2 linked regions of the Macaca fascicularis genome follow. The protein of the gene in region 2 binds, or shares a complex with, the protein of the main gene of each other region. Links are inferred from orthologs where the notes say so. Each region holds a gene or a part of one and is shown on either strand. Other genes may lie near its edges.

Region 1 (3,750 bases), on a different chromosome or scaffold from region 2:
AGCAGAGGTTAATACTAAAAAAAAAAAAAAATTACCACAGTTTACACATTTTTTTATCTGAATGTACATTTATAGTACTTGAACCGAGTTATTTTCAATACACTATTCACATTAACAAAATTCAAAATAAGTTCATTTCTAATTTTTCCCCCCATGTAGAATTTTGATAAATGCAAAACTTATTTTGCCTAAAATCCAACTCTTGGGCTGCTGTTATTCAGCCTAAATTTTTATATAAGACTGCAAATGTTAGCCAAATTTAAAAAAAATTTTAATGCAACTTTCCACATTGTCTTCAAACTCAGTAAATTCCACAATTTTAAAACACAAAAACCTTTCACCGTGCCTACTCACATTTTTACTAAAATCCCTACACAAAGCCATACATTCTGCTTTTCATTTTACTTCTCCAAGCTGCTGCCTTCACCAAATAGACTCCACGAGCCTCCCAAGTGGTATCCACCAATATATGTGATTCTCAAGGAAAAGTGTTAAAGAGTAATTAATTCAATTGGTACGAAATCTCTTCTTTTACAATTTTACCTTAACTTTAAAAAGCCTTTTCTTGATGGAGATGAAAATCCTTTGAGGAAACGGTTGTCCTTTACATGGACTCTCCATCAGCCCCATAAGGTGAGTGGCATAAAGAGGCATTTTCTCTGACAGTCTCAGTTCCCCAAACACTAGTCCTAAGCTTTTGCATGGATGATAAATTTCACACACAAACACCCGGAAAAGAAAGAAGAGAAAGAAACATACCTGGTTTATTTTCTAAACAGGTTTGATAGGTTTGGTTCACTTGGAAGAGCAGATTATTTACTTATAATCTTTTAAAACAGAAGTGGCAGCCAGAGCACTGGGTAAATAAAAACTTCACAGTTTTAAAACCCTGCATCTTAACTCACTTCCCTTTGGTTCAAGGGGACGGCACAGCAAACCCCACGGCAAATGAGATTATGCAACAGGCTTTTTCGTCCCCACCTTATTCATCACAGGCTGGTTAGAGGTGTGCTTTCTCCAATCTGAGACACCCACGACTTCAAAACGCCAAGAACCCTTGCAGCTGATGTTTTCTAAACTTCTTTAGGATTTTGCAGTATCCATTCATTTTCAGATCTACTTGCATTTTCTCTGGTTCATTACTGGTATTCTTTAGGAAATAAACCCAGCATCTGAAGATATTTCCCTCTGTGGTGTTCCATTACATGAAACTACACGTGATACACAGACCCTGGGCTTTTTTATTTCTCACGTTTTGCAGCTAGTGTAAATAAAGAAGTCACTAGGTATCGGGCCCCCCAACGCCAAGACCCGAGCCCCTGTCCGAAAATTGAGGGCTTTTTTGGTTGGTTGGTTGAAGAAAGCAGCACCGTCACCACCCAGGTGGCCTCGCTGATTACACCAAAGGCGAATTGGGGATAATGGGAACAGTCAGGCCGGGGCCCCACTTGGCAGGCGTGTTGTGTAACACTCGCGCCTGGAAGTGAGCAGCTTCGCCCGCGAAGGTGCCGCGTCCCGCGGCGGCCGCTCCTCTCGGCGGGGCCCGGTCCAAGCCCGCTCGCAGCGCAGCGGCCGGGAGCGCACCCACTGCGACCCCGCGTCCAGCCGCACGCCCCCTTCCCGCTCCGGCCAGCCTCCAGCCAGGCCTACACCCGCGCTTCAAACGCTCCTGCGGCCCCCGGCCGCGGTCGCCCCCACGCCGCCTCCCGAAAGGGTGGCCGGTACGCCCGGGAAGGCAGAGCCGGCGGGGCCAGAGCGCGGCTCCCCGCACCGGGAGTCGGGGCGCGCTGCGGAGCGTCCATGCGGCCGGGCGGCAAGGCGCCCCGGGCCCCGGACCCTCCCGCCCGCACACCCAGCGCGGCCCGCCAAGGCCACTTACTTTTGGGGCCGCCGACCTCCCAATTCCCTCAGAGGGAAACGAAAGTTGTCACGGCGTCTCCCCTCGGGCCCCCCTCGCCTCCCGGGCTTGCGAGGCGCCGCCGCGGAGCCGAGAGGGCGGCTGCGCTCCCGCTCGCGTCCCGTCCCGTCGCTCTCCTCCTCCTCTTCTTTTCACTATATTATCTTCTCCTTCTCTGAGGGGTGGGTGGGGGCGGGAGGCTTAGGAAGAGAGGAGACGCTCGCAACTTTTCTTCACTCTTTCTCTTCCACCCTCCCCCCCAATCAGCCTTCAAAAAAAATGTCGAAGGAGATGAAGAACTTAGGGAGGTAAAGGTGGGGGGTCGCGTTGTGAAAGCGGGGGCTGAGGGGAGGGAGAGGTGGTAATAATCGTTCAAAAACTGATTAAAGCCCCCCGAACACTGATACATAGAAAGAGGGGCAAAGGCGGGGGGGGGGGGTGGGGTGGGGGGTTGGGGGAAAGAGAAAGAGTCGCTGGTCAGGAAACTTCAAGCGCGGATGAGGTCATTGGTTTAAAAATAAAGAGATGGCGTCACTTGAAACCAATCCCAGTGAATGAACTCAGCGGAGCCCCGGGGAAAGGAGGAGACAGGCGAGGGCAGGGCGGTGGGCGCCGGGCGGGGCCGCGCGCCCGCCCATCCCGCGGCCGCCCGAGGCCGGAGCGCGGCTCCGCGCCTCGTTCCGGCCGCTCGGGGAGGGGTCAGGTCATGTTCTCTTCCCGAGTCCGGCGACTCTGAGGCAGGTTCCGCGGGCGCCGCTGGGAGGAGCCGGAGCAGCCGGAGGAGGCGGCCCCGCGGCCTCCTACCCCTCCTCCTCCTCCTCCTCCTCCTCCTCCTTCCGCGCCCGCGCGCCCGCCGCCCCCCGGGCTCGCGGCCCCGACCCCCTCCAGTGCTGCGCCCCAACAGGTATCGGAGGGTTTTCTCCTCACCCAGACCCAGAACCTTTCCCTCCTCCTTGAGTTGTTTCCAGCTGCCTCACCAACATCAAAAAACGCAAACACTGATTTGAGAGAATTACAATCGCTCGGTAAAAAGCCTGACGAATGCAAAAGGCAAGGCTCTGCCATCTCTCAGAAATTACAGGTACTTCAAGAAAAATCACACTACTGTTGTCAGGCATTCAGCTACCTATATGTTTATGGTGAAAACCCCCTCATAAATGTTCCTACATTACTTTACTTATATTTACAAATACAAGGATAGCAGCCTACATTTTCTTTAAAAATGTTTTCTACAGGACGCAGCGCTGAAACATCTTTAAATCAGACCGGGGTTCACCGCCTCTTGAGAGGTACAAAACCCTTTATTGATTTAACTCCACGTACCTCGTGTATTTTATTATTTGAATTCATTAAAGTCTCTTTGTTTTGAGATGATATTACACACTTTGGAAAACGAGAGACCTGAGGTGGTGACAAACCAGGACTTGGAATCACTGAATAGGACAATCGGAGCTTTATTCCAATGTTCTTTGAGCATTTGAGCATGAAGCTGCTTCTACTGAGAAGTACTCACGTGGATATCACATAACAAAGATGTGATTAATGACGGAAAAGCCCCCTGCGAGTGGACTGCTCCATGAGCCAGAATTTATGTGTAGGGATAATCTAACTCTTAAAATATTCCGTTTGCAATGTGCCGGATTGGGACACTGGACCCTAAAGGCACTGTTTGTTGTGGCATATCCATGTGCACCCTGCCTAAAGCACTTTTTTCCACTAGCAAAAGAACTGAGAAGCAGGTTTGGGTGGGTTAGAAAGATAATACACCCCTGTTACTACTTTTCTGCCTTTAAGTCCTGCAACTAAAGGGCATTCCTTATGATTGGTAATCATTGAAGGTTAGTGTTGCGGGG
Region 2 (3,650 bases):
CTTAAAGGTACTTTTACAAATATATACATTTAATCCCATTTGGGGTGTGTGTGTATGTGTTCGTGTGTTTATATGTATTCATATTCTTATGGGACATAACCCAAGGTTTTCTCTGGATGGTGGGAAAAAAAATGAGGTTTTATTTTTCTTTAATTTTATATATTTTAATCATATGTATAAAATAATTTTACAGTAATATTTTTAAAACATATGCTTTTAAAATAAAAAATAATCTCAAATTGCTGAAAGTTATTAATAATTTGAGAACCTTTACAAATATATGTACATTAACATCATTATGTTTGCAGCCAGTCAGGCAAGGGATTTGTTATCCAAAATGCTGGTAATAGATGCATCTAAAAGGATCTCTGTAGATGAAGCTCTCCAACACCCGTACATCAATGTCTGGTATGATCCTTCTGAAGCAGAAGCTGTAAGTTATTTTCTTAATGTTTACAGAACATACTGCATTCTTAGAATTACAGTTAGGTTTGGAGGAGACCTTTTAATTTTAAATAAAAATGTAGATACATGATGATGATGTTTTTCTGTTTCTTCATGAAAACTACGTCAAATAAACTAATGAGCATATTTGAGCCCCTCCTACACAAAATAAAGTCACCTCCCACTGTTTTTTGCAATCTTGCCTGGATACCCTAACCAGAGAACTAGGATGTTGAATGCTCTGAGGGAACATCCTAACTCAGTTATAAAAGAAATTACTATATCCAAAGGAAAACGGAATTCTGTGATCTATGATATAAATAAAATGTGGCAATTTCAAGAGCTGGAAGAAAAGAAAAAGACAGTTAAACATTTTTTTTCCTGCAATGAAGGAGTCTTCCTATTCTGTCTATATAAGAAAGTTGATGATTGATCAGTCTTGATCTAATGATACATTTTTATAAGTCATCTGTCTGGCTAATATTTCAAATAACTACAAAGAGTTAAAATACTCCCAGCATACTGACTCAATTATTATTGCCTTGTGTTTTTCAGCCACCACCAAAGATCCCTGACAAGCAGTTAGATGAAAGGGAACACACAATAGAAGAGTGGAAAGGTACATTCATCAGATTCTTAGAGGGAAAACTGCGAAGGAGCTTCTGGTTTTTATATGGTGATTTATTGTCATGTTAGAGAAATTTGTGACATTTTCTGTGCATAACTGAAATTTGTTAATATTAATATTTTTACATAAGTGGACAGTAAGTCTGCTTCCTTCCTTAACTTCTTAAGTTCCCGTTTCCCACCCCAGACACAGACACATTAGTGCTCTCTCTCATGTTTTTCTATGGTGTGTGAACATACAAATGTGTTTAGTGTCTCCCACCTCTCTTCTTCCACCCTTTTAAAATCACATATGGTTGTGTACGATATATGCTATATGTACTTGCTTTGTTGATATAATCAGATATCTGGAAGGTTATTCTGTTTTGGTTCACATATATGCCTCTCTTGCTTTAATAACTGATTAGTGTTCTGCTGTATGAATGTGTCACACTGTATATCCATCTCCCTCTTGATGACCATTTAAATTGTGTCCAGTCTGTTGCTGTTAGAAACAACTCTGCCGTATTCATGTTCACATATGAGAACATACCTGGAAGAAAAATCCTAGAAGGAGATGTGCTGAGCCAAAGGATATTTTTCAGTTATTTCCAAATTATTCTCCAAAGAAATTGTAGTAGTGTACACTTCCATCCATATTGTATAGGAGCCTCTCTTTACCCTCACCCTTGCCAACAGAATGAGTTAATTTTTAATATTTGTAAATCTAATATAGTAGTTTTATTCTATTTTATAAATGTGGCTGAAATTAATCATGCTTTGATAGTCATGGAAGTGTTCAAAATATTTCTTCGAAAGGTCCCCTGAGACATGTGGGCCAGGTAATGTTTAGGTCCCATTTACTTCCATTTGTGTTGTTGTCCTTCAGTGTTTTGACCACTTTTGTAACTGTGTGACTTTGAGTAAATCACTCCCCCTTCCTCCCACCCTCCTACACCGCCCCCTGCATTTTACCTCATCTTAAAATAGAGGCAGAAGACCTGTTATTAAGAGTTGTCTTTAAATCCTGGGAAGCCAAAGTGGACTGGGGAGGTATAAACATGAATAAGTAACCCATCTATAAATGTGTTTTGCTAAGGATGAATTTGATTCTTTCTTAGAAATTGAAGAGATTTAGAGATTGATTTTCTGTGAACTTTGGGAAACCCATGGTTAGCAGAGCCCATGATAAAGTTAAAAAAATGACAGAACAATAAAACTGGATAGAGTCTGCTGCATTTGAATATGTAATATGCATTTGAATATGTATACAGATATAGCTCTGTACTGAATATGTATGAAAGCATTAACCTGATATTTTTACATCCTACTAATTTACAATAGACCATGAAGTATTTTATAGAATCTTGTTTTTTTGTTTTGTTTTGAGACAAGGTCTCACTGTGTCACCTAGGCTAGAGTGCAGTGGTATGATCATGGCTCACTGCAGCATCAAAACTCCTGAGCTCAAGTGATCCTGCTGCCTCAGCCTCCCCAGTAGCTGTCCACCACACTTGGCTAATTTTTTTTTTGAGACAGGGTCTCACTATGTTGCCCAGGCTGGTCTCAAACTCCTGGGCTTAAGTGATCCTCCTGCCCTGCCTCAGCCTCCCAAAGGGCTGGGATTATAAGTCTTAAGCCACTGCACCTAGCCTAATTTTTTTTTTTTTTTAATTTTTGTAGAGATGGGGTCTCACTCTGTTGTCCAGGTTGGTCATAGACTCTTAATAGGCCAGCAGTTGTAAGGCACACCATTATGTGCCACAAAGAAAAAAAAACACTGTCAGTTGTCCAGCACCATTGATTATAAGATGGAGTCAGTTTCAGAGTTTAAACTGAAAAAAAGTACATCTTAAAATCAGTGAGATACAGTGTTTTCATTTGTTTAAGAATATATTTGGGGGTTTTGATTGCTTTAAAAACATTTACCTTTATTCTGTATCTCTTACTCCTAGCCCCAGGTGCATGTCAGTAATTACCCACAGACTGCCTTTTTCAAGATCTACCTAAGAGTTTTAGCTCATAACAGAAAGAAAAATTAATTGCCAAAGCCATTAATTACAGATGGCTTTGCCTAGTTAGTACTCCTAATTAGTGTCGGTTCTTCTGCCTTAATCTCTTTGTGCTTTTTCCCAGAGGAGTGCTATTTTCTCTCTTAAAAAATCCTCATATTGCAAATGTTTATCATTCCTTTTTGTTTCTTTGAAGAAGACCATCTCTTATTCTCTCCTTTATCAGTGCTTTCTATTTTTCTCCTTCCAAGCCTTAAGTTACTATAACAAACAAACTTGTCTCCAGTTGTTGTTCATTCCAACATACTCTCTTGTTTTACCTTATTACCAATATAAATGTCATACTCTGTAATCAGGGATTCTTTGTCAGAATTTTCTTCTTCAGGAATTAACACAGACTCCTTGAAATTCGATGCAATATTTTTTGTTTGTATGTTTTTCTCAGAAGAGGGTTTTACAATTCTCAGAAGATTCCATGACCCAAAGAAGATGATAAATAGTGGTGATGATGTGGCATCCACCATTAAGATTACGTGTGGTGTGCCTTGTGAGTCTGAATGTCTACTTAAGAACCTTAAGAAGGTTTTT

What was found. The genes of interacting proteins can lie anywhere in the genome.
Region 1: the proteins of MAPK8 (region 2) and DUSP16 are in contact, whole or in part, in a crystal structure (PDB 4YR8), measured with the Homo sapiens proteins. The link is inferred for Macaca fascicularis from reciprocal best matches to the Homo sapiens genes MAPK8 and DUSP16. Residues at the interface, in NP_001310257.1 of Homo sapiens: Arg189, Val196, Ile197, Leu198, Gly199, Asp229, Ile231, Trp234, Gln253, Thr255, Val256, Thr258, Tyr259, Val260, Asn262, Arg263; in NP_085143.1 of Homo sapiens: Phe215, Leu267, Asp268, Tyr271, Lys275, Pro279, Ile281, Ser282, Pro283, Asn284, Phe285, Asn286, Leu288, Gly289, Gln290, Leu292, Asp293.

Annotation. Positions count from the first base shown.
Region 1 is NC_088385.1:15,327,200-15,330,949, forward strand, and holds the start of DUSP16 (dual specificity protein phosphatase 16), read right to left. Parts: upstream 2,666-3,750; 5' UTR 760-2,665; intron 1-759. UniProt on the Homo sapiens protein: Dual specificity protein phosphatase involved in the inactivation of MAP kinases. Dephosphorylates MAPK10 bound to ARRB2.
Region 2 is NC_088383.1:57,634,933-57,638,582, forward strand, and holds part of MAPK8 (mitogen-activated protein kinase 8), read left to right. Parts: coding exon 1-7; intron 8-308; coding exon 309-433; intron 434-999; coding exon 1,000-1,063; intron 1,064-3,650. UniProt on the Homo sapiens protein: Serine/threonine-protein kinase involved in various processes such as cell proliferation, differentiation, migration, transformation and programmed cell death.